Linked DNA regions of Callithrix jacchus. The protein of the gene in region 3 interacts with the protein of the main gene of each other region in a biochemical or structural test. Links are inferred from orthologs where the notes say so. Each region holds a gene or a part of one and is shown on either strand. Other genes may lie near its edges. The genes, in order: TLK2, CHAF1B and ASF1B.

Region 1 (7,072 bases), on a different chromosome or scaffold from region 3:
GGCTGCTATTTCAGACTGAAGAATGCTCTTTACTGGTCAAAAGAGCACTTAGTTAATAGTGGCAAACTTCAGATAAACCCCCGAAAAAGCTGTTATGTTAGAAAAAGGACATTGTCGCAATAAGCCAAAACTTGACCTCATCAGAATAGTTTCCTGTTCTGGGAATCTGAGGAAAACACCAGTATCTTAAGCTGCAGTATAGTCATCTTTTCTCTGTCATTCAACAGTATTTACATAGCTACCATGTATAGGAAGAGTAGAAAATTCTAAGCACAAATAAATGCCTGCCTTCTCCATTCATGTCTTCCTTTCTCTTTAACTGAAAGTAAATTTCATGTCCAAATATAACTACAAATAAAAGATATGATATCATATAACTAATCAACTAATATGTCATTTCCTTTATATTTTTATGTTCACAAATACAACACATAATCCACTTCAGGTATAATATTATTGTTAAAAGTCTGTGACATCCTAGAAATGCATCTTCATTCTAGTGAGAAAGATGGCTTAACACCAATCCTTACCCCATATGTATCTGATGTTTTGGGAAGTCTTTTTCTTGATATTCATTTAGTAAGTCTGTGTTAAATGCTTATTTTATGTTAGGCCCTCTTCTGGGAATACAGAGCTAAAGGATTCAGCCCCAGCCTTAGGAGCCCACAGTTTACTTAGGTGAGATGAACAGATAAATAAACTAATAATTACATTAAGTTTAGTGATAAAAATGTACATAATGAACTTGGAAAACATCTTGATTCATAAAGCTCCAGTTTTTTTTTTTTTTTTTTTTTTGAGACAAAGTCTCATTCTGTCACCCAGAGTGGAGTGCTGTGGCACAATCTTGGCTCACTGCAGCCTCCATCTCCCGTGTTCAAGCCATTCTCCTGCCACATCCTCCTGAGTAGCTGGGACTACAAGCGAACCACCACAGCCGGCTAATTTTTGTATTTTTAGTAGAGATGGGGGTTTTGCCATGTTGGCCAGGCTGGTCTAAAACTCCTGATCTCAAATGATCCACCCTTGTCCGCCTCCCAGATTGCTGGGATTACAGGCTTGAGCTACTGCACCCGGCCCAAATGTTTTAAAATTAGAGTCTTTTTTCCCCTTGATTTTAAAAACTAGTCAAGTGCAGTAATGAGAATGAGAAGAGGGGAAGATTATCGAGTCTTTAAATATTTTCCTTTCAGCAAGTCCAAGTAGGGGCTCAGATTTGAAAGATTCTCCAGGCTAATTAATCTGATCAGTGTTTTCTTTCATGACTCCTGTGTTTATTTTGTGAAGGGACTTTCCCTCTAGTATCACTTGAAAATTATTTAATGCTGATGCATAAAACCATTGGATTAGGAGTGATGAAGAAGGCAAAGGTTGTTTCTTTGCCACAGAACAATAGTTAGAATGGAATCTAGGCTAGTAATGTGTAAGCAGTTGGCATCTGGAGTCCTGTGTAAAATCCAAGCTAGAAGACCTTCAGTCCAGTTTTTAATTAGAGTATCTGTGACTTGGCTCTTATTTTGACCAGAAGCCAGATATAGGCCTCTGAAGTCTTGGAGTAAGTCATAATATCCTTTCTTGGCCCTGAACCTGTTTCAGACAGATAATTCTTAGCCATGATTTTTTATTTCTCTGTTTTTTGCTAGTGTGAAATGGAGTAGTAGATGCAGGTATTTCTGCATCTATAAAGAGCCCTAGTGGATGAGTTTGTTCTATTTTCCTTGAGTTAGACATCAAAGGCTCTGTTCTGGTTGATAGGATAGGTGTTTCCTCTTTCTTCTGCAATTTAGAATATATCTAAACAGTGATATCTAAAAATGTTAAGTATCTGTGTATGATTCTAGAATGTGAAGAAGGTAGAGATGGAAGGAAGAATAAAATAATAATTGTAACTTATTGATCTTTTTTTTTTCCTTTTTTTGTTTTTTTTGAGACGGAGTTTCGCTCTTGTTAGCCAGGCTGGAGTGCAATGGTGCGATCTCGGCTCACCGCAACCTCTGCCTCCTGGGTTCAGGCAATTCTCCTGCCTCAGCCTCCTGAGTAGCTGGGATTACAGGCACGCGCCACCGTGCCCAGCTAATTTTTTTTTTTTGTATTTTTAGTAGAGACGGGGTTTCACCATGTTGACCAGGATGGTCTCGATCTCTTGACCTCGTGATCCACCCACCTTGGCCTCCCAAAGTGCTGGGATTACAGGCATGAGCCACTGCGCCCAGCCCTTTTTTTTTTTTTAAAGAGAGTCTTGCTCTGTTGCTCAGGCTGGAGTGCAGTGGCATGATTATAGCTCACTGTAGCCTCAACCTCCTGAGCTCAAGCAGTCCTTCCATCTCAGCATCCTGAGTAGCTGGGACTACAGGCATATGCCACCATGCTCAGTTTTTTCTTTCTTTTTTTTCCCCTGCACAGAGACAAGAGTCTTGCTTTGTTGCCCAGGCTGGAACTCCTGGCTCCAAGTGATCTTTCCCCTCAGCCTCCCAGACTACTGGCCACTGAGGCTGGCCACTTGTTTATTCTTGAGATATAAGGATGCTGTTGGAGTAGGTGGAATATGAAACACATGAATACCCATCAAGTCAGCCCTTTGAGAACTGGTTTAGATAGCATTTTCAATGTTCTTTTTTCGTTGTCGTTTAATAGTCCCAACGTTTTCTTAGATAGGTATTATCACTTGCCGCATTTCAAAAAAACTGACTTAAGAAATTAAAGTTGTTTGCCCAAGGTCACATGGCCAGTATCTTATTAATACCTTGAACTCTAGTCCTCATACTCCAAATCGTAGACTCGAATTTGCTTTTATGTCTTTCTCTTTGTTATTATAGCATCAAGGTTTAGGTGTTAACAAGAATAATCAAATCCATTGACTGACTGTTTTGGCCTCTAAAAGAATTTTAAACAATTTTTGGCTCTCTCTGAATGAGTTTTTAATCTGAGTAAATTGGACGAAACTCATTTCAAAAATAATATAAAATGCTGTTAAAAGAAAGTCATTAAGAAAAAGAAAAAAAATTTTAAATATGGCTCACTTTTTTTTTTATGTTTTGCAAATTAGGCTTTTTGGCTTTGAAGTCTTTCTCTCACATCATATCTAATAAATCGCGGAAGTTTTTTCTTGTCAGAGGACTACAGGATAACCTATCCTTCAGTGATTTTAACTGAGACTGAAACTGAATTTGTCTTATTGTATATTTGGGCTATTCTCTTCAAATAGGCAAACTATGATTTCAAGTAATTTACTGAAACTTTTAACCACTGTTTTTCAGGTTAACATTAGCAGAATACCATGAACAAGAAGAAATCTTCAAACTCAGATTAGGTCATCTTAAAAAAGTAAGTATAATGAGAAAATCTCTCTGGAGAAATATGTTACCCAGTTTACATTTAGGTTTTAAGCTATTTGGTCATTTGGGCAAATGTAATAGTAGTTTCACATAGTGGCAGAAAGCTTGAGTGACTGCTTTCACTGTCACGTCTCATAGCCTAATGGTAGAACTCATATCTTTCTGTTTTCTTTTTTTGAAATGGAATCTCACTCTGTCTCCCAGGCTAGAGTGCAATGGCATGATCGATCTTAGCTCACTGCAACCTCTGCCTCCTGGGCCCAGGCGATTCTTGTGCCTCATCCTCCTAAGTTGCTGGGATTACAGGTGTGCACCACCACAGCCAGCTAATTTTTGTATTTTTAGTAGAGATGAGGGTCTCACCGTCTTGACCAGGCTGGTCTCAAACTCCTGACCTCAAGTGATCCTCCTGCCTTGGCTTCCCAAAGTGCTGGGATTACAGGTTACAGGTGTGAGCCACCATGCCTGATCTATCTTTCCATTTTCAAGACAATTCCAGCAACCCAATGAGAGTGTTTTTACCAGTGATCTCTCAGCAGATAATTCTGAACATATAAGGCTTCCCAAGTGGTTATCTTTGGAGTGAAACTTAATTATTTTTTTAATATTTAAATTTTAAGAGCAGTTGGTTTTAAAATTGATGTTAAGACTCCTGCCATATTTTAAATCACATGTCAGCTCTTATTTCTTGCCTAAACTAGCTAATAAGAGAAAGTCTTATGCCAGTCTTATTCAGACACAAAGACACATAACATAGAATTTATTATTAATGATGTTCACTAAGATATCTTAGATGTAGATTGCTCCGCTCTTGAATTCAGAAACCCATACATTGGTGGATGCTATTTACGGTGATAATGGTTAGTAAGGATTTACTGAACTGCTTTTGGTATATGTGCATTTGTTTGTTTTTTATTTCACATATTAGTTTTCATGCCGTTTTTCCCGCTGGGTTCTCAGAGCTTGTTAAATAAGTAGAACTTAAGGCATCAAGTGTAATCCATATGTAAAGAGGAGGACCAGATAGATGACCTGATTTTTGTAAAAATTGTTTCTATGTCTATATGTATATGCACAAAACATTTCTGAAAACTTAACGTAAGAAATTTGATAGTGGCTACATCTTGGGAGTGGGTGTGGAGAGGAGGGAGGAGAAGGGTAGAGAGCTACTTTTCTCACTGAACTCCTCTGTATGGTTTGAATTTCATTATTTTCTTTTTTCTTTTTTGAGACAGAGTCTTGCTCTGTCACCCATGCTGGAGTGCAGTGGCTTGATCTTAGCTCACTGCAACCTCTGCCTCCTGGGTTCAAGTGATTTTTCTGCCTCAGCATCCCGAGTAGCTGGGATTATAGGCACGTGCCACCACGCCTGGCAAATTTTTGTATTTTTAATAAAGATGGGGTTTCAGCATCTTGGCCAGACTGGTCTTGAACTCCTGATCTCATGGTCCACCCATCTCGGCCTCCCAAAGTGCTGGGATTACAGGCGTGAGCCACCGCACCCAGCCTTTGACTTTTATTATTTTCTATGGGCTTATTATGATTAAAATTCTTATCTTTTAAAAATAAATCTTTCAATGCAAAATACCTTTCTTTAGCTTTTCATAAGACAAATGTCTGCTGTTGCTTTTGAAATAAGATCCCAGAAAGGTAAAGTTCCCCATATTTTGAGCTATTTCTTTCCTTTTTGCTTTAGGAGGAAGCAGAGATCCAGGCAGAGCTGGAAAGGCTAGAAAGGGTTAGAAATCTACATATCAGGGAACTTAAAAGGATACATAATGAAGATAATTCACAGTAAGCAACTTGGGGGTATATTGGGTTGGAGATTGCTAAGCACTTTCTGATATGAATTGAATGGTCTGGAATAATGCATTTGCTTAATATAAGTTACATAAATGATTCCATAGTGTATAGTTCTTTTGTAGCATCTAATACAATTTTGTGAACAAAATTATGATTTGCCTTGGTTTAAATATATAATTGTATTAAATTTATGTATTAAGTATATATGTGTATACACATAGCATTTTTACCTGAGTAGAGATTATTAAAACAATATGGCTTGGTAATTGTAAATGGCTGAAATACATTGCATATTCAGTTTTACCTACAGAGCCTTAAGAAAGGGAAGCATAGTTCATAGTGTGGTGTTGTGGAAAGAATATTGGGCTGAGATGACACTCAGTTTCTGAATGACCTTTAAGAGCCATTCAAGTGTTGAGACTAAGTAAGACTCTTAAGTTCAGTATATTAATTGTAGATTAATGCCCACCATTGCTTATTAGTCATTTAAGGAATTGAAGATGGGAAAAGTAGGTTGAAAGTAGAAAGGGGCTTTTATAAGTAATCTGTTTTTTTCCCACATTTTCGGACCCTGAAACATTTTTTCACAAAGCCATAGTGTGCGTATTTTTGTTTGGCTTATAAGAGCTATAGACCTTTCTTTCTGCTAGAGTGGCAGACAATAGCAGGTACTACTTCCTGAAAACTCTGTGTATCAGGCTTGATCCTAAGTGCCCTTAGTGCTCTCATTTAATCCTCAGGATAACCCAGTCATCTGCAATACATCAATCAGAAAACAAGCTTAGAGAAATTAAGTTAACTTGACCCAGGGACCCATAAATAATGTGACTAAAGAGTTAAACTTGGATCTTTTTCATCCCAACCACCATGCAGTAATGTATCTCCAAATAGGCATGCTACTTTCTTAAAATCAAAGTAAAGTAACTTCAGGATTAATAGTGAGATTGTGTAAGATCAGGAACTAGGTAAAAATATTTTAAAATTTGTTTTTGCCAGAACTTGTCATTTCTTTATCATATTAATTAAGAAACTACCCAAGGTGGAATGTAATATGGGGAACATAGTTATATCATAGACCTTGTCTTAAAGAGAGAATAATGAATGCACATAGAACATGTGACTTCACTATTCTGCAATCAATTTGTAAGGAAATAACAAATTTCTTGGAATTTTACTGTGTGTAGTTTGGAAATGGTGGGATCATGTGGATCTTGTATAGTTTGGAGGAGGAGCCAAATAGCACAATTTAAAAATCCCTAATCAAGTCTAATCTACCATCGCTCATTGTGTAGCAGGGCAGAAAAAAGGAGGAACAACAAAGGTCACAGATCTAGTGTAGCTACACTGAGACCAGCACTCGAGTCCTGTGGCTCTACAGCTAGTGCTATTATTCATTGTAATTATGCTGCCTCTTTGAACTGTGTAAATTTATTCTCAGAATTTGCCATGTTGATGTTGATTGTCAGACTACCAACAGCAGCTATAATTGTATGTATAATGTGTTAGATATTCTGGGAATTTTGCAAGCATGGAAGACGTAGTCCATGATCTCAGGGGTTACATATTTTCTGTTTCCACAGATTTAAAGATCATCCAACGCTAAATGACAGATATTTGTTGTTACATCTTTTGGGTAGAGGGGGTTTCAGTGAAGTTTATAAGGTAAGTATAACAACCTGGGATCAAAGACTGGGGGTTAAATTATCGGCTATTACTGAGTTCGAGAACATTAAGAATACCGAAAATTGTGGGTTGCTATCCATTAAAATTCAAAAAATTTAAAAACCTGTATCTTTGGGAAAACAGCTTTCAGTAAACCTAGATGACTAAGCAGGATACAATATTGATATGTTTAAGTTTGAAAAAGAAATACTTACAGATTTAAAAAGCAAGAAGGAAATATACTGGGTGGTGGAATTATGGTGATTTTTATT
Region 2 (7,072 bases), on a different chromosome or scaffold from region 3:
TAAAAGCCTTTTCTTGAGGCCGTCTTGCTTTGTCGCCCAGGCTGGAGTACAGTGGGGCGATTGCGGCTCACTGCACCCTCTGCCTCCTGGGTTCAAGCGATCCTCCTGCCTCAGTCTCCTGAGTAGCTGGGACTATAGGTGTGTACCCCCACATCCAGCTAATACTTGTGTTTTTAGTAGAGATGATTTCATCATGTTAGCCAGGCTGGTCTTGAACTCCTGACCCCAGGTGATCTGCCCGCCTTGGCCTCCCAAAGTGCTGAGATTACAGGTATGAGCCATTGTCTCTGGCCCTGATTTCCTGTAACTTTATTTTTTTATTTTAATTTTTTTGGAGACAGAGTTTTGCTCTTGACCAGGCTGGAGTGCAGTGGCGCGATTTTGGCTCACTACAACCTCTGCCTCCGGGTTCAGGAGATTCTCCTGCCTCAGCATCCCCAGTAACTGGGATTATAGGTATGGGCTACCAGGCCTGGCTAATTTTTTTTATCATTAGTAGATACAGGGTTTCACCATTGGCCAGGCTGGTCTCAAACTTTTGAACTCAAGTGATCCACCTGCCTTGGCCTCCTCAAGTGCTGGGATTACAGGCATGAGCCACCAGGCCCGGTCTACTTACTTTAACTTTAAAAGCAACACAACCAATTGTTTTAGTTAATTGAAGTAGACAGTTGGCTCAGCAGGATAGGGGTCAGTCTCATATGCCATGGATCGTCAGAGTGTAAGAGGCTTAGCAGCCTGTCATCTTACCTGCAGGCGAGTTACTGATGCTGAGGCCAGGCAGATCCCACATGGAGGGGCCTGCAGGTAAGATGACAGGCCCAGGCCCTGCCTTTATGGAGGCTAGGATCTTGGGAAGATTAACAAGTCACTTATAATTTATAGGGCATGGCATGCTGGTTGGTGGGGTAGGTGGGATCAGGTTTCCATTTCAGAAGATCAAGGAAAGCCAGGGACATTCTGTTCTCTAGTTGGGGAGACAGTTGACATGTGAAAAGTTATAGTGGTATAAAAATAGCTTTGAAATGCCAAAAGCAAGCAGGGGCTAATTCCTAACCATTTTTATCCCCCACCGTCCTTTATTCAACTTTGTTTTCTCCTAAGCGTCTTCCTGCCAATTCTACAACTCAAGTCCCTGGGGAGGGGAGTTGGTGTTGGCTGTCCCCGAAGCATTGTGTCAGCCCAGCTCTCATCCGGTTTATAAAAATCTTCGCTCTTTTTCGTTCCATGCTGTCCAGCCAAGCCGTCCTCCATCCTGTCTTGTTTGTTTGTGTGTTTGTTTGAGACAGAGTTTCACTTAGTCGCCCAGGCTGGAGTGCAGTGGTGCAATCTTGGCTCACTGCAACCTCTGCCTTCTGGGTTCAACAATTCTCCTGCCTCAGCCCCCAGAGTAGTTGGAATTATAGGCACCCACCACCACACCCAGCTAATTTTTGTGTTTTTAGTGGAGACAGGGTTTTTGGCCAGGCTGGTCTCGATCTCCTGACCTCAAGTGATCCACCTGTGTTGGCCTCCCAAAATGTTGGGATTACAGACGTGAGCTACTGCTCCTGGCCAGGATTTTAGGTTTTATCTTGAGTGTGATGTGTTGCTACAGAACCTCACCAAAAACCTCAAAAAAAAAAAAAAAAAATGACCTGCCAGACACAGTGGCTCACTCCTGTAATCCCAGCACTTTGGGAGGATTGCTTGATCCCAGGAGTTCAAGACCAGCATGGGCAACATGGCAAAACCCTATCTACCAAAAAAATACGAAAATTAACTGGATGTGGTAGTACGGGCCGATAGTCTCAGCTCCTCGGGCTGCTGAATCTCTTGAGCCTGGGAAGTTGAGGCTGCATTGAGCTCTGATGGTGCTACTGCACTCCAGGACCAGACCTTGTCTCAAAAAAAAGAAAAAAAAAAAGGAATGGCCAAGGCTTCGTAACTCCCTTGTCCTTTTATGCAGGCGATCTCTGTGTGCTGAATATTTTCTGAGTCCCTTTTCTATCCCTGTTCACATTGTCTGCTCTGGGCCCTCTTCATCTTTTTCCTGGTCTACTCGGTCACCTCCTAACTAGTGACACTTTGTCATCTTGTAAACCTGTTTGAACTTTAAAATGCAGATGACTTCTCAGCTTGACTACCCACAGCCCTTTCCTTACACACACGGTCTGTAATATTTCTCCTTTCCTCCTTATCTTCTGTTCTTGGCCCTCCAGTGTACCCATTAGCAGTTTTTGGTCACCTGTCACTGCTCCGTATTCACTTCACTAATCTGTCTTTTTTTGGGGGACGGAGTTTTGCTCTTGTCGCCCAGGCTGGAGTGCAATGGCGCCACCTTGGCTCACTGCAACCTCCGCCTTCCAGGTTCAAGCAATTCTCCTGCCTTAGCCTCCCAAGTAGCTGGGATTACAGGCATGCACCACCATGCCCAGCTAATTTTTGTATTTTTAGTAGAAATGGGGTTTCACCACGTTGGTCAGGCTGGTCTTGAACTACTGACCTCAGGTGATCCGCCCTCCTCAGCCTCCCAAAGTGCTGGGACTACAGGCATGAGCCACCTCGCCTGGCCACACTAAGCTGTCTTAACCCCGTGGATTTCCTTAGAATACCTTCTTCCACCCTTCATCTCCTCCTCATCCTGCCTGACCTGGGGAACTGAACTTAGATCTTCTGGGACGCGGTGCCCTGTGCTATCAGCTCCCCCTCCTCTCCCGGTCCACATGTGTGATACTTGCCTGTTGATGGGTCTGTCTGATCTGTGAGCTCCCTGACGGTGGGGACTGCATGAAATCATCTTTGCAACACCAGAGCCTGACACAGGGTTTAGTACGGAGTCTCTCACTTATGCCCGCTGAGTGATACATGGTAAAAGGGAATAATATTTATGTCATAGTTTATGCTATTTGGGCTCAAATAAGTTTTGATAATGCTGTTTTGTGTGTGTGTGTTTTTTGTAGGACAAAAGATATCGATTTTTAATGAACATAAAAGTTATGTCCAAGGAGTAACCTGGGACCCTTTGGGTCAATATGTTGCTACTCTGAGCTGTGACAGGTACATTCGGCTTTGGCAAGCTGTCTTTGTATTTACTTGGAATTTTCTGCAGAGAGATTTTTATCACAACTTAACCAAAATTTATCATAGTCTAGCTTTGATTCTTTTGTTCTTGCTTTTATACTCATTCTTATAATATGATCAGAAATTGAAAATTAATTAGGGCAAGTGCCTTACACGAAGTTTGTATTTAGTAAATCCTTTTTGTTTGTTTGTTTGTTTCTGGAGACAGAGTCTCAGTCTGTCACCCAGGCTAAAGTGCGGTGGCGCAGTCTCAGCTCACTGCAACATCTTCCTCCTGGTTTCAAGTGACTCTCCTGCTTCAGCTTCCCTAGTAATTGGGATTACAGGTGTGCACCACCACACCCGGTTAATATTTGTGTTTTTAGTAGGGACAGGGATTCACCATGTTGGTCAGGCTGTTCTCGAACTCCTGATCTCAAATGATTGGCCTTCCTTGGCCAACGTGCTGGGATTACAGGCATGAATCACCACGCCCGGCCTATAATATTCTTTAGGTTGCTAATACTCACTTCCTTCATCATTATCCAGTTGTGAATATCACTGGTAAAAGATTTTGCAGGCTGAAAATTGTTGCGGTGGTTATAGGCTGTTGGTAATAAGTTGTTTCTGTGTGAAGCATAATTCATGTACTAGAAGTGGTAAATCAATGTGTTCTTTCTTCAGGGTGCTGCGAGTATACAGTACACAGAAGAAGCGTGTGGCTTTTAATGTTTCGAAGATGCTGTCTGGAATAGGGGCTGAAGGAGAGGTACACAATATTTTGCCATTCTTTTTCAGCAGCACTTTATTAGGAAGTCACGAGCTCCTCCCATACCCTTGTGGCCAAATTATTGGCCTCAAGGACCCCATTCCTGAACTATAATAAGGCCTCCTCTTGGACAGTCAAGGCTCAGTTAGTGTGGTGGGCTAATCTGTATGGAAATGGGGACATCTGGAGACCAAGGGAGAGCCACCAATGGAGGACAGGACAGTGGTTTTCAACCCTGGCTGCACTGTAGAATCACCTGGGAAGCATTATAAATATGGGTGCTGGCCGGGCGTGGTGGCTCACACCTGGAATCCCAACACTTTGGGAGACTGAGGTGGGCGGATCACTTGAGGTCAAGAGTTTGAGACCAGCCTGGCCAACATGGCCAAATCCCATCTCTATGAATTACAAAAATTATCTGGGCGTGGTGGTACATACCTGTAATCCCAACTACTCGGGAAGCTGAGGCATGAGAATCACTTGAACCTGGGAGGCGGAGGTTGCAGTGAGCTGAGATCATGCCACTACACTCCAGCCTGGATGATAGAGCGAGACTCTGTTTCAAAAATAAAATAAAATAAGGCTGGGCATGATGGCTCACACCTGTAATCCCAGCACTTTGGGAGGCTGAGGTGGGCAGATCACCTGAGGTCAGGAGTTCGGGACCAGCCTGGCCAACATGGTGAAACCCCGTCTCTACTAAAAATACAAAATTAGATGGGCATGGTGGTGCATGCCTATAATCCCAACTACTAAGGAGGCTGAGGCAGGAGAATTGCTTGAACCCAGGAGGCAGAGGCTGCTGTGAGCTCAGATCGCGCCATTGCACTTCAGCCTGGGTGACCAGAATGAAACTCGATCTCATATAGATAATTAATTAAAATAAAATAAGAATAAAAATATGGATGCCTTGGCCCCAGCCTGAGTGGTGTGATTCACTTGGTTGGAGGTAGGTAGGGCTGCCATGAATCTCAGATGTAGTGAGGGCTGGTCACAACTGATCTGGGAAGATCCCTACATGAGGTAACAGAAGACAGGCAGTCCAGCTTTGGATCTGTCTGGCAGCATTCACTTTACTATCTTGGCAGGTAGATAGAGAGCTTTGGTAGCAGACAGCAGAGACGCAGCCAAAACTCTGTTATTTAGAAATAGGAAGGATTTTGACTTTGAAAGAATTGGCAAATGAAAATAGGACTGTAGTCCTAAAGGACTCAAGGCTACTGAGGCAGACACCAAGGTACAGGGGAGTAAGCCGGTTACTGGCTTCACATGGGAACTTGGTGCACATCCCTCCAAGAAAGCAGGGTAAGGCAGTGTGGGCTGGCCACTGACATGCACTGAGAGGTCACACCTGCGAAGTAAGAGTAGTAATGCCGGCTGGGTGCAGTGGCTCATGCCTGTAATTCCAGCAATTTAGGAGGTGAAGGTGGGCAGATCACCTGAGGTCAGGAGTTCAAGACTAGCCTGGCTAACATGGTGAAACCCTGTCTCTACTAAAAATACAGAAATTAACTGGGCATAGTGGCACATGCCTATAGTCCCAGCTACTCCGGAGGCTGAGTCAAGAGAATTGCTTGAACCCAGGAGGTGGAAGTTGCAGTGAGCCGAGATTGTGCCATTGCCCTCCAGCCTGGGCAACAAGAGTGAAATTCCATCTCAAAATAAATAAACAAATAAATAAAATAATAATAATGCCTGCTTCCTTGTGTTCTTAAGAATTAAATGCTTGCTTGTTTGTTGAGACAGTGTCTGGCTCTGTCTCCCAAGCTGGAGTGCAGTGGTGTGATCTTGGCTCACTGCAACCTTCACCTCCCAGGTTTAAGTGTTGCTCCTGCCTCAGCCTCCCGAGTAGCTGGGATTACAGGCGTGTGCCACTATGCTTGGATAATTGTATTTTTAATAGAGACGGGGTTTTGCTATGTTGGCCAGGCTGGTCTCGAACTCCTGGCGTCGAGTGATCTGCCTGCCTCAGCTTCCCAAAGTGCTGGGATTACAGGTGTGAGCCATCATGCCCAGCACATGCTTGATGTTTATAAAATGTCAATAAATAGTAATAAGACCTGTGTTAGACAGGTGTTCAAGAAATGTTGTTTGGGAAGATTAATGATAACCAGTTTAATAATCCACTATTTTCTTTTTTAAAAAGATACATTTATTAATAGCTGGAGGTGATGGCATGTGCCTATAGTCCCTGCTACTCAGGAGGCTGAGGTGGGAGGATTGCTTTGAGCTCAGAAGTTCTAGGTTGCAGTGACCTATGATTGTGCCGCTGCACTCTAGCCTGGGTGACAGAACAAGATGCTGTCTCTAAATAAATAGGCTGGGCGTGGTGGCTCATGCCTATAATCCCAGCACTTTGGGAGGCCAAGGCGGGTGGATCATGAGGTCGAGAGATGGAGACCATCCTGGCCAACATGGTGAAACCCCATCTCCACTACAAATACAAAAGTTAGCTGGGCGTGGTGGCATGTGCCTGTAGTCCCAGCTACTTGGGAGGCTGAGGCAGGAGAATTGCTTTTATCTGGGGAGGTGGAGGTTGCCGTGAGCCAAGATTGCATCCTTGCACTTCAGCCTGGCGACAGAGCAAGACTCCATCTCAAAAAAAATAAATAAAAATAAAAATAAATAAATAGAGTACATTCATTTGGAAATTCTAAATGAATCCACACAGATAGAAAGCAAAGGTCTCCTGGTCATCTTCCCACTGTCTCCCAGTCTCAAGCCCCAGTTGACCCACTGTTGACCCTTTGGTTTGTGTTCTTAAGAGTTTTTAAAAATAATTTTAGAAGCACATAAAACACCCACATATACATACAACTTTACCTAACAAAAATGTGTGGTCAGTTTTCATGAATGATTACCCTTGCAGTGTTGCACAGTTACTTGATTTGAAATACATTTCAGTTTGATTTATGATTATGTCAACAGTGATTGACACTAAAGAAAACCACGGGAACACACAGCGTCTGGGAAGCCTTTATTGTGAGCGTGAGGACTGGAAAAATGTTTAGACTTTGTGTGTAGAGAAGAAACAAACAAACCAAATAATTAAAAATCATCATAAAAATAAATGTTCTGTGCGGCAGGCAAGAAGCTACCGGATGTTTCACGATGACAGCATGAAGTCGTTCTTCCGAAGACTGAGTTTCACTCCTGATGGATCTTTGCTCCTCACGCCAGGTGTGTTTCGTAGCTTCGGATTTAAGGGAATGATGGCCAAGCAGGAATGTCTGCTCCTGTTTGACACTGCTTATCAGCTCA
Region 3 (7,622 bases):
GGCCTATGAGTGTGAACACTGTCCAGGGCACCCTTAGAAAGGCCTCTCTGGGGAGAGGACATCTGAACCAAGACTTGAATGACAAGAAGGCATAAGTCATATCAAGAGCCCAGGAGAAGATGTTCTGGGCGGAAGCTCTGTGCTGGGAGTGGCTTGTTGGATCTTTTTTTTTTTTTAGACAGAGCCTTGCTCTGTCACCCAGCTGGAGTACAGTGGTGCAATCTCGGCTTACTGCAACCTCCACCTCCCAGGTTCAAGCGATTCTCCTGCCTCAGCCTCCTGAGTAGCTGGGATTACAGGCACATGCCACCATGCCCAGCTAATTTTTTTTTTTTTTTTTTTTTTTTTTTTTTTTTAGTAAAGACGGGGTTTCACCATGTTGGCCAGGCTGGTCTCCAACGTCTGACTTTGTGATCCACCCACCTTGCCCACCTTGGCCTCCCAAAGTGCTGGGATTACAGGTGTGAACCTCCACGCCTGGCGGCTTGTTGGATTTTTAACAATAAGAGGGCTACTTAGGCTGGGTTGAAGTTGGAGCTGGGTGGTTAACAGGAGACAAAGCACAGAGTTTGGAAGACGTTTTCATCCTGAGAAGTGACCTGATCAAATGTGTTTTGATTATTACTGGACACCTCCGCTGTCCAGTAATACAGTAGCCACTTGTCACCGGGGCTCAGGAGCACCCAACAGTGGCTATCAAGACTAAACCGCCCTTTTTTTTTTTGTTTTTTGGAGACAGTCTCGCTCTATCACCAGGCTGGAATGCAGTGGCTCGATCCCGGCTCACGGCAACTTCTGTTTTCCTGTTTCAAGCAATTCTCCTGCCTCAGCCTCCAGAGTAGCTGGAACTACAGGCATGCACCACCACCCCCAGCTAATTTTTTTTGTATTTTTAGTAGAGATGAGGCTTCATCATGTTGGCCAGGATGGCCTCGATCTCCTGACCTTGTGATCCACCTGCCTCGGCCTCCCAAAGTGCTGGGATTACAGGTGTGAGCCACTGCATCCAGCCCCCTGAACTTTTTTTTAAATTTAATTTTAATTTTTAGAGACAGGGTCTCACTCTGACACACAGCCTGGAGTGCAGTGGCTAAACATCCTGGGCTCAAGTGATCCTCCTGTCTCAGCCTCCCAGGTAGCAGAGTACAAGTGTGCACTATCACACCTGGCTTATTCTTTTATGTTGCCCAGACTGATCTTGAACTCTTGGCCTCAAGAAATCCTCCATGCCCAGACTCTAAAATTTAATTTTTAAACAAAGTAAAATTTAAATTAAAAAAAAAAAAAAAAAAAGACATGGCCGGGCGCAGTGGCTCACACCTGTAATCCCAGCACTCTGGAAGGCCGAGGTGGGCAGATCACTTGAAGTCAGGAGTTCAAGACCAGCCTGGCCAACATGGTGAAACCCTGTCTCTATTAAAAATACACACACGAAATTAGCTGGTTGTGGTGGTGCACACCTGTAATCCCAGCTACTCAGGAGACAGGCAGGAGAACCGCTTGAACCCGGGAGGTGGTGGCTGCAGTGAGTCGAGATCGTACCACTGCACTTCAGCCTGGGTAGGTGAGTGAGACTCCGTCTCAAAAAAAAAAAAAAATACAAAAATTGAGCTCGTGGAAGACTCTGAAGTACGTCGAGAATAGTAGGAATGTGTGAATCTACATTTTCAACTGCAAACCTTATGAAACATAAGAAACCAGATCAACGATTTTTTGAAGAAAATGTATTCACATGCCCGATGACAGACGTGCAGCTGAGTGTACAACACAAGGAATCTCAACGTCTTTTCACTGGGTAAAAGAACGCAACACGCTGTGTGTTAGCGGCTCAGAGCTGTGGCTCACGCCTGTAATTCTTGCACTTTTGGGAGCCTGAGGCGGGCGGATCACTTGAGGTCAGGGGTTCGAGACCAGTCCGACCAACATGGAGAAACTCCGTCTCTACGAAAAAACAAAAATTACCCAGGCATGGTGGTGTGCGCCTGTAATCCCAACTACTCCGGGGTGGCTGAGGAAGGAGAGTCTCTTGAACCTGGGAGGTGGAGGTTGCAGTGAGCCAAGATGGAACCACTGCACTCCAGCCTGGGCCACACAGCGAGACTCGGTTTTTTTTTAAGTGGCTTCCAAAAAATGTATAATTAGGTGCGCGGCAGGCATTACTTTTCCACTGGGCAGCGCTGATTTCCCGTGGGACAGTCTCCCAGGCGACGGCCCAGGTGGGATGCGGCGGAGAGAAGTTTCTGGATGTATTATGTGGTCATGAGTCATGCCAGGGAATTTCCACGGCCCGTTCAATGGGAAGGGAGACGCTGCCTCGAAAGCCGAGTAGCAGAGCACCGACTCGAACTGGAACTCCCATTTTCAGTTCCGTCCGCTTGAAACCTCCCAAGAGCCCACCAGGGGGCGAGAAAGGGATTCCAACCCCTCGGGGGCAAGAACGGGATCCAAACTCGGCCAGACTCCCGAGGTCCGAGCGCGGCGCGTGACCGCCACTCCGAACGTTCACAACGTTCACAACGGACACCCGGGCTGCTGCACCTCGAGGTCAGGAGCCAGCCACTCAGAAAAGCTCCAGCAGACGCTCACCTGTTGAACAGACGCTGAGGCCGCAAACGCTCCTCCTCTCTCTTCACACACCCCGGCACCAGGGTAACTCCCACTTCCGCTTCTCTCCAACTAATCCCCAGCTGAGCCTCCTTAGGCTCCCGCTTTCATTACCAATCCAGCCAATCAACTCTCAAAAAACCCTCTTTATCTCCGCCCCACTCCCTCCTGCCAATCACTGGGGGTGCGAGCACCGCCCTTCCCGCCTTCTTTAGCGAGCACCGCGCGCCACCGCTCGGCGGTTGGCGGCGCTGCGCGCTGCGGGATACATATCCCGGAATAGTGGGGCGAGGGGCGGGCCACGCCGGTGCGGGAACCCTCAGGATTGGCCAGCAGGAGGCCGGCGCTCTGACTCTGTCCACTCCTGCCGTTGACCTCCTAGTCGGAGACGCTGGGGATTGGTTCCCAGAGGACACGCTAAGAAGCCTGGAGGTGGTTCCACCCTCCTCACGCTCCGCGGAGAGGGAGCTCCGCTGATTGGTCCAAGGAGTCTGGGCGCGCGCCGACTGGCGCTCCAGGATTGGCTGAGAGGGTGCGCGCGCCGCCAGGGAGCGTTGGCGGTGATTGGCCAGAGGGCGGAGGCCGGCTATTTGAAGGCGGCGCGCGTACGAGATGCGCACTTCAGTCCGCGGAGGGAAGAGTTTGGAGTGGGTTTTGTCAACCCTACCCCGCTGACCTCACCACCGGACCCAGACGCGGCCTCGGCCACAGCCCCTGCCCCTGCCCCTGCTGCAGCGCAGTGAGGCGAGGCGAGGCGATGGCCAAGGTGTCGGTGTTGAACGTGGCGGTACTGGAGAACCCGAGCCCTTTCCACAGCCCCTTCCGGTTCGAGATCAGCTTCGAGTGCAGTGAAGCCCTGGCGGACGGTGAGGCTGGGATTGTGCGGGTTAATCCCCACCCTCGGGCCGACCCCGGCCTCCCCGCGGAAAACTGCTCTCATGGCCAACTTGATCTCCCCCATGAAACTCCTCGTCCTCCCTCTCAGCTAACCCCGATCTCCCCCAGCCCGCCAGTCAACCCGGTGTCCGGGTGGAGACCCCCCCCCCCCCAGTCACCAGCCAACCTGGACCTCCCCGGGACTTCCTTCCCCACTGCCCGCATTGACCTCCCGGGTGGAGGCTTCCCGCTAGCCAACTCGGACATCCCAGTGATCTTCGCCACTGCCCGCCCCAACCTCCCCATAGAGATTAACGCCCCCCACCCAAGCCCCATTTCCAGCGTGGGGAGCCTCATCCATCTTTTTTCTTTGGAGCTCTTCCGAGGTACCCATTTTCATGCAGAGACCTTCTCGGCCTCTATTTCTTAACCCACGGAGATCTTCAGCCACTGTGGCTTCCCTGTGGCAAGACCCCTGTTTCAGCCACCCACCCATTTTTGCCCACTTAGACTCTTTCCTATAGTGAGATACTCCCATCTCCCTTTTTCCCTCTGGAGACCCCACTCTCCAGCCCCTTCCCATTTTTCCCGGGGAAAATCCCAGCCATTTTCTATTTCCCCTATGGAGACCTCTCCCCCAACTCCCTTCTCCCCCCACCGTGAAGACCCTCCCCTCCAGTAACCTTTTTTCCCTATGAAAACCCGTCAATCCCTTGTCAAGACCGCTCTCTTCCCCCATCTTCCCATCTGTCTCCCGGCTCTCCCCTCCCCAACCTGCCGATATTTCAATAACCCTGCCCCCCACCAATTGCTGCTGGTTTTCTACCCCAATGCACATACCCTGGAACCTGATTTCCCTCCTTCGTTGGGGCCCAACCTCCCTATCCCTGAGCTCCCCCGGGGAAGGATGCTACCCTTTGCAGTAACTTGGTCTCCCCAGCTCCCTTTCCCCACCCTCTTCTGTGGGCTTGGACATACACGCTGAGATCCGAGGGGTGGCATAGCCAGGCAGGCATTAGTAGTTCCCCAGGTTTGCCCGCCCATTTCCAGCTGACTGACTGCAGCAATTCTTCGCTTTTTCTTCTTTTTTTGAAAGAGAGTCTTGCTCTGTTGCCCAGGCTGGAGTGCAGTGGCACTTCACTGCAACTTCAGCCTCCTGAGTAGCTGGGATTACAGGCGCCTGCCACTACGCCCGGCTAATTTTAGTATTTTTAGTAGAGGCGGGGTTTCACCACGTTAGCCAGGCTGGTTGCGAACTATGGACTATAAGTGATCCACCCACCTTGTCCTCCCAAAATGCTGGGATTATAGGCACAGGCCACCACAGCTGGCCAATTTTAGTATTTTTAGTAGGGTTTCACCATGTTAGGCAGGCTGGTCTCGAACTCCTAACCTTGTGATCCACCTGCCTCAGGCTCCCAAAGTGCTGGGATTACACGGGCATGAGGCACTGCGCCTAGTTTTCTTCTTGTTTCTTCTTCTTCTTCCTTTCTTCTTTTATATAGCTGGATAATCAGTGCCAAGCTTCCATTGCTTTTGATGGTCTGACCTAGTCTGGGGGTGGGTGGACTGGGCTGAGCTCTGACAGGCTCCAGCTTCAAACAGTCAGCTGGAGCTTAGGGGTCACAGCCTCTTACGCATCTTTTCCAAGGTGCTTCCGCAGATGTACTTATTAATCTGTGTGACTTAAAGGTGCACATGGCTCTCATCTCACAGATGAGAGGACAGGAGGCACAAAGCGCAAAAGACCTTTCACGTCAAGGCTTGTACAATCCAGAATCTAAGGTCACCCAGGGAGCCTTGGCACCACTAAAAGGCGAGTCCTGCTTTCAGGAAGAAGTACTTCATTAGGCCATTTTTCTACTTGGTGGTTAAAAGAGAAAAGGCACAGCCGAGGAGGTGGCCGTGCAGTGGCCTGTGAAGCCGGGGGTGCTAACTAGTGCCTCTTGGGGTCAGGTGGGTGGTTTCCCCTCCAAGCTGGTGGCGTGTATTAGCTCGGGGCTGATACAGTGAGATTCAGATGTGCTCTGGGTAGGCCAGTAGGTCCACCTCTTCCTGAGGAGTCTACTTGTGGCTAACTATAGAATAAGCCAAGTTAAATCCTTTCTGGAACAGGGCAGCATGTAAATAAATAAAGTGTAGAATGTCACTGTGGAATAAGATTTAATTTAAAAGCCAGGAGGAGATGGAAGGAGGTAATAGGCTGAGGGATTCCCAGCTTCCAGGCGGCAGGAGATCGGGTTTCAATCAGCCTGTTTGTGTTCCTTGCATTTACAAATGGTGATGCGGTCATTATCTGATACTTCTACTCCTAGGAAGCTCCTGTCCTGTGACTTTACTAACTTACTTAGAGAATTAGTTGGAAAGGCTAAAGTCAACCTGCTGGTATTTTTTTTTTTTTGAGACAGAGTGTTGCTCTGTTGCCCGGGCTGGTGTGCAGTGGCACGATCTTGGCTCATTGCAACCTCTGCCTCCTGGGTTCAAGCAATTCTGCCTCAGCCTCCTGTGTAGTTGGGACTACAGGCACGCACCTCCATGGCTGGCTAATTTAGTAGAGATGGGATTTCACCACGTTAGTCAGGCTAGTCTCGAACTCCTGAACACAAGACTTGGCCTCCAAAAGTGCTGGGATTACAGGCATGAGCCACCTCACCTGGCCCTGCTGGTCATTTTTTAATAGAAATGGAATGACTTGGCGGGGCACAGTGGCTCACGCCTATAATCCCAGCGCTTTGGGAGGCCGAGGCGGGTGGATCACGAGGTCAAGAGATCAAGACTATCCTGGTCAACAAGGTGAAACCCCTTGTCGATACAAAAATTAGCTGGGCATGGTGGTGCGTGCCTGTAGTCCCAGCTACTCGGGGGGCTGAGGCAGGAGAATTGCTTAAACCCAGAAGGCGGAGGTTGTGGTGAGCCGAGATTGTGCCATTGCACTCCACTCTGGGTAACAACAGCGAAACTCCATCTCAAAAAAAAAAATGAAATGGAATGACTTCTCAGGGGTCACACAGCCAATTTATAGAAGTATTGTCACTGATTTCTGAATCTAAGTTCTTTATCTTCACAATCTTTATCTTTCCAATTCAGGGAAAGAAAGGAAGGATTCCCTATTTCAGAGGTGGAGCATAGATAACGAACGACCATAGAATGTATTGCCAAATGAGGACACTCAAAACTCAGTGAAGGGGTGTGCTATTATTATTATTTATTTTTGAGATGGGGTCTCACTCTAGTGTCACCCAGGCTACAGTGCAGTGGCGCAATCTCAGCTCACTGCACTCTCCACCGCCTGAGTTTAAGCGATTCTCCAGCCTCAGCCTCCCAGGTAGCTGGGACTACCAGTGTGTGCCACCACGCCTGGCTAATTTTTGTATTTTTGGTAGAAACAAGGTTTTACCATGTTGGCCAAGCTAGTCTCAAACTCCTGACTGCAAGTGATCTGCCTGCCTCGGCCTCCTAGTGCTGGGACTACACTTCGAATCCCAAGCGCCTGGCCAGGGAATGCTATGATTAACTGCACCTGGATGATAAAGCTTTTTCTTCAGGATACTCAAGTGAGAAATCCGGGCTTTTCCAGTCCTAGGGCTGTCTGTGACTGCTCTGCCAGCTTGTTTTCTGCCTCTTTCTGGCCTCCTCTCCATGAAATGAGAGAATCTGCCTCAATCTCAGCAGTGTCAACTGAAGATCTGACAAAACCCCTAACCCAGCTATGTGAGGTGGCTCATGCCTGTAATCCTAACCCAGCTATGTGAGGTGGCTCATGCCTGTAATCCTAACCCAGCTATGTGAGGTGGCTCATGCCTGTAATCCTAACCCAGCTATGTGAGGTGGCTCATGCCTATAATCCCAGCAATTTGGGAGGCTAAGGAAGGAGGATTGCTTGAACCTAGGAGTTTTAGGCCAGCCTGGGTAACAGCAAAACCTTGTCTCTACAAAAACATCAGAAAATTAGCCAGGCTTGGTGGCATGTGCCTGTGGTCCCAGCTACTCAGGAGGCTGAAGTGGGAAGATTGCATGAGCCCAGCAGGTGAAGGCTGCAGGGAGCCAAGATTGCACCACTGTACTCCAGCCTGGACAAGAGAGCAAGACCCCATCTCAAAAAAACCACCCTAACCTTTAAGCCCCAGTCAGGTGATCCGTGT

The links.
Region 1: of the proteins of ASF1B (region 3) and TLK2, one has a biochemical effect on the other in vitro, tested with the Homo sapiens proteins (3 studies listed by BioGRID). The link is inferred for Callithrix jacchus from reciprocal best matches to the Homo sapiens genes ASF1B and TLK2.
Region 2: the proteins of ASF1B (region 3) and CHAF1B form a complex in vitro, tested with the Homo sapiens proteins (2 studies listed by BioGRID and IntAct). The link is inferred for Callithrix jacchus from reciprocal best matches to the Homo sapiens genes ASF1B and CHAF1B.

Annotation. Positions count from the first base shown.
Region 1 is NC_133506.1:87,825,097-87,832,168, forward strand, and holds part of TLK2 (serine/threonine-protein kinase tousled-like 2), read left to right. Parts: intron 1-612; coding exon 613-678; intron 679-3,257; coding exon 3,258-3,324; intron 3,325-5,031; coding exon 5,032-5,129; intron 5,130-6,718; coding exon 6,719-6,800; intron 6,801-7,072. UniProt on the Homo sapiens protein: Serine/threonine-protein kinase involved in the process of chromatin assembly and probably also DNA replication, transcription, repair, and chromosome segregation. Phosphorylates the chromatin assembly factors ASF1A and ASF1B.
Region 2 is NC_133522.1:42,433,757-42,440,828, forward strand, and holds part of CHAF1B (chromatin assembly factor 1 subunit B), read left to right. Parts: intron 1-2,942; coding exon 2,943-3,039; intron 3,040-3,726; coding exon 3,727-3,811; intron 3,812-6,897; coding exon 6,898-6,991; intron 6,992-7,072. UniProt on the Homo sapiens protein: Acts as a component of the histone chaperone complex chromatin assembly factor 1 (CAF-1), which assembles histone octamers onto DNA during replication and repair.
Region 3 is NC_133523.1:12,909,233-12,916,854, reverse strand, and holds the start of ASF1B (histone chaperone ASF1B), read left to right. Parts: upstream 1-3,220; 5' UTR 3,221-3,361; coding exon 3,362-3,470; intron 3,471-7,622. UniProt on the Homo sapiens protein: Histone chaperone that facilitates histone deposition and histone exchange and removal during nucleosome assembly and disassembly. Cooperates with chromatin assembly factor 1 (CAF-1) to promote replication-dependent chromatin assembly.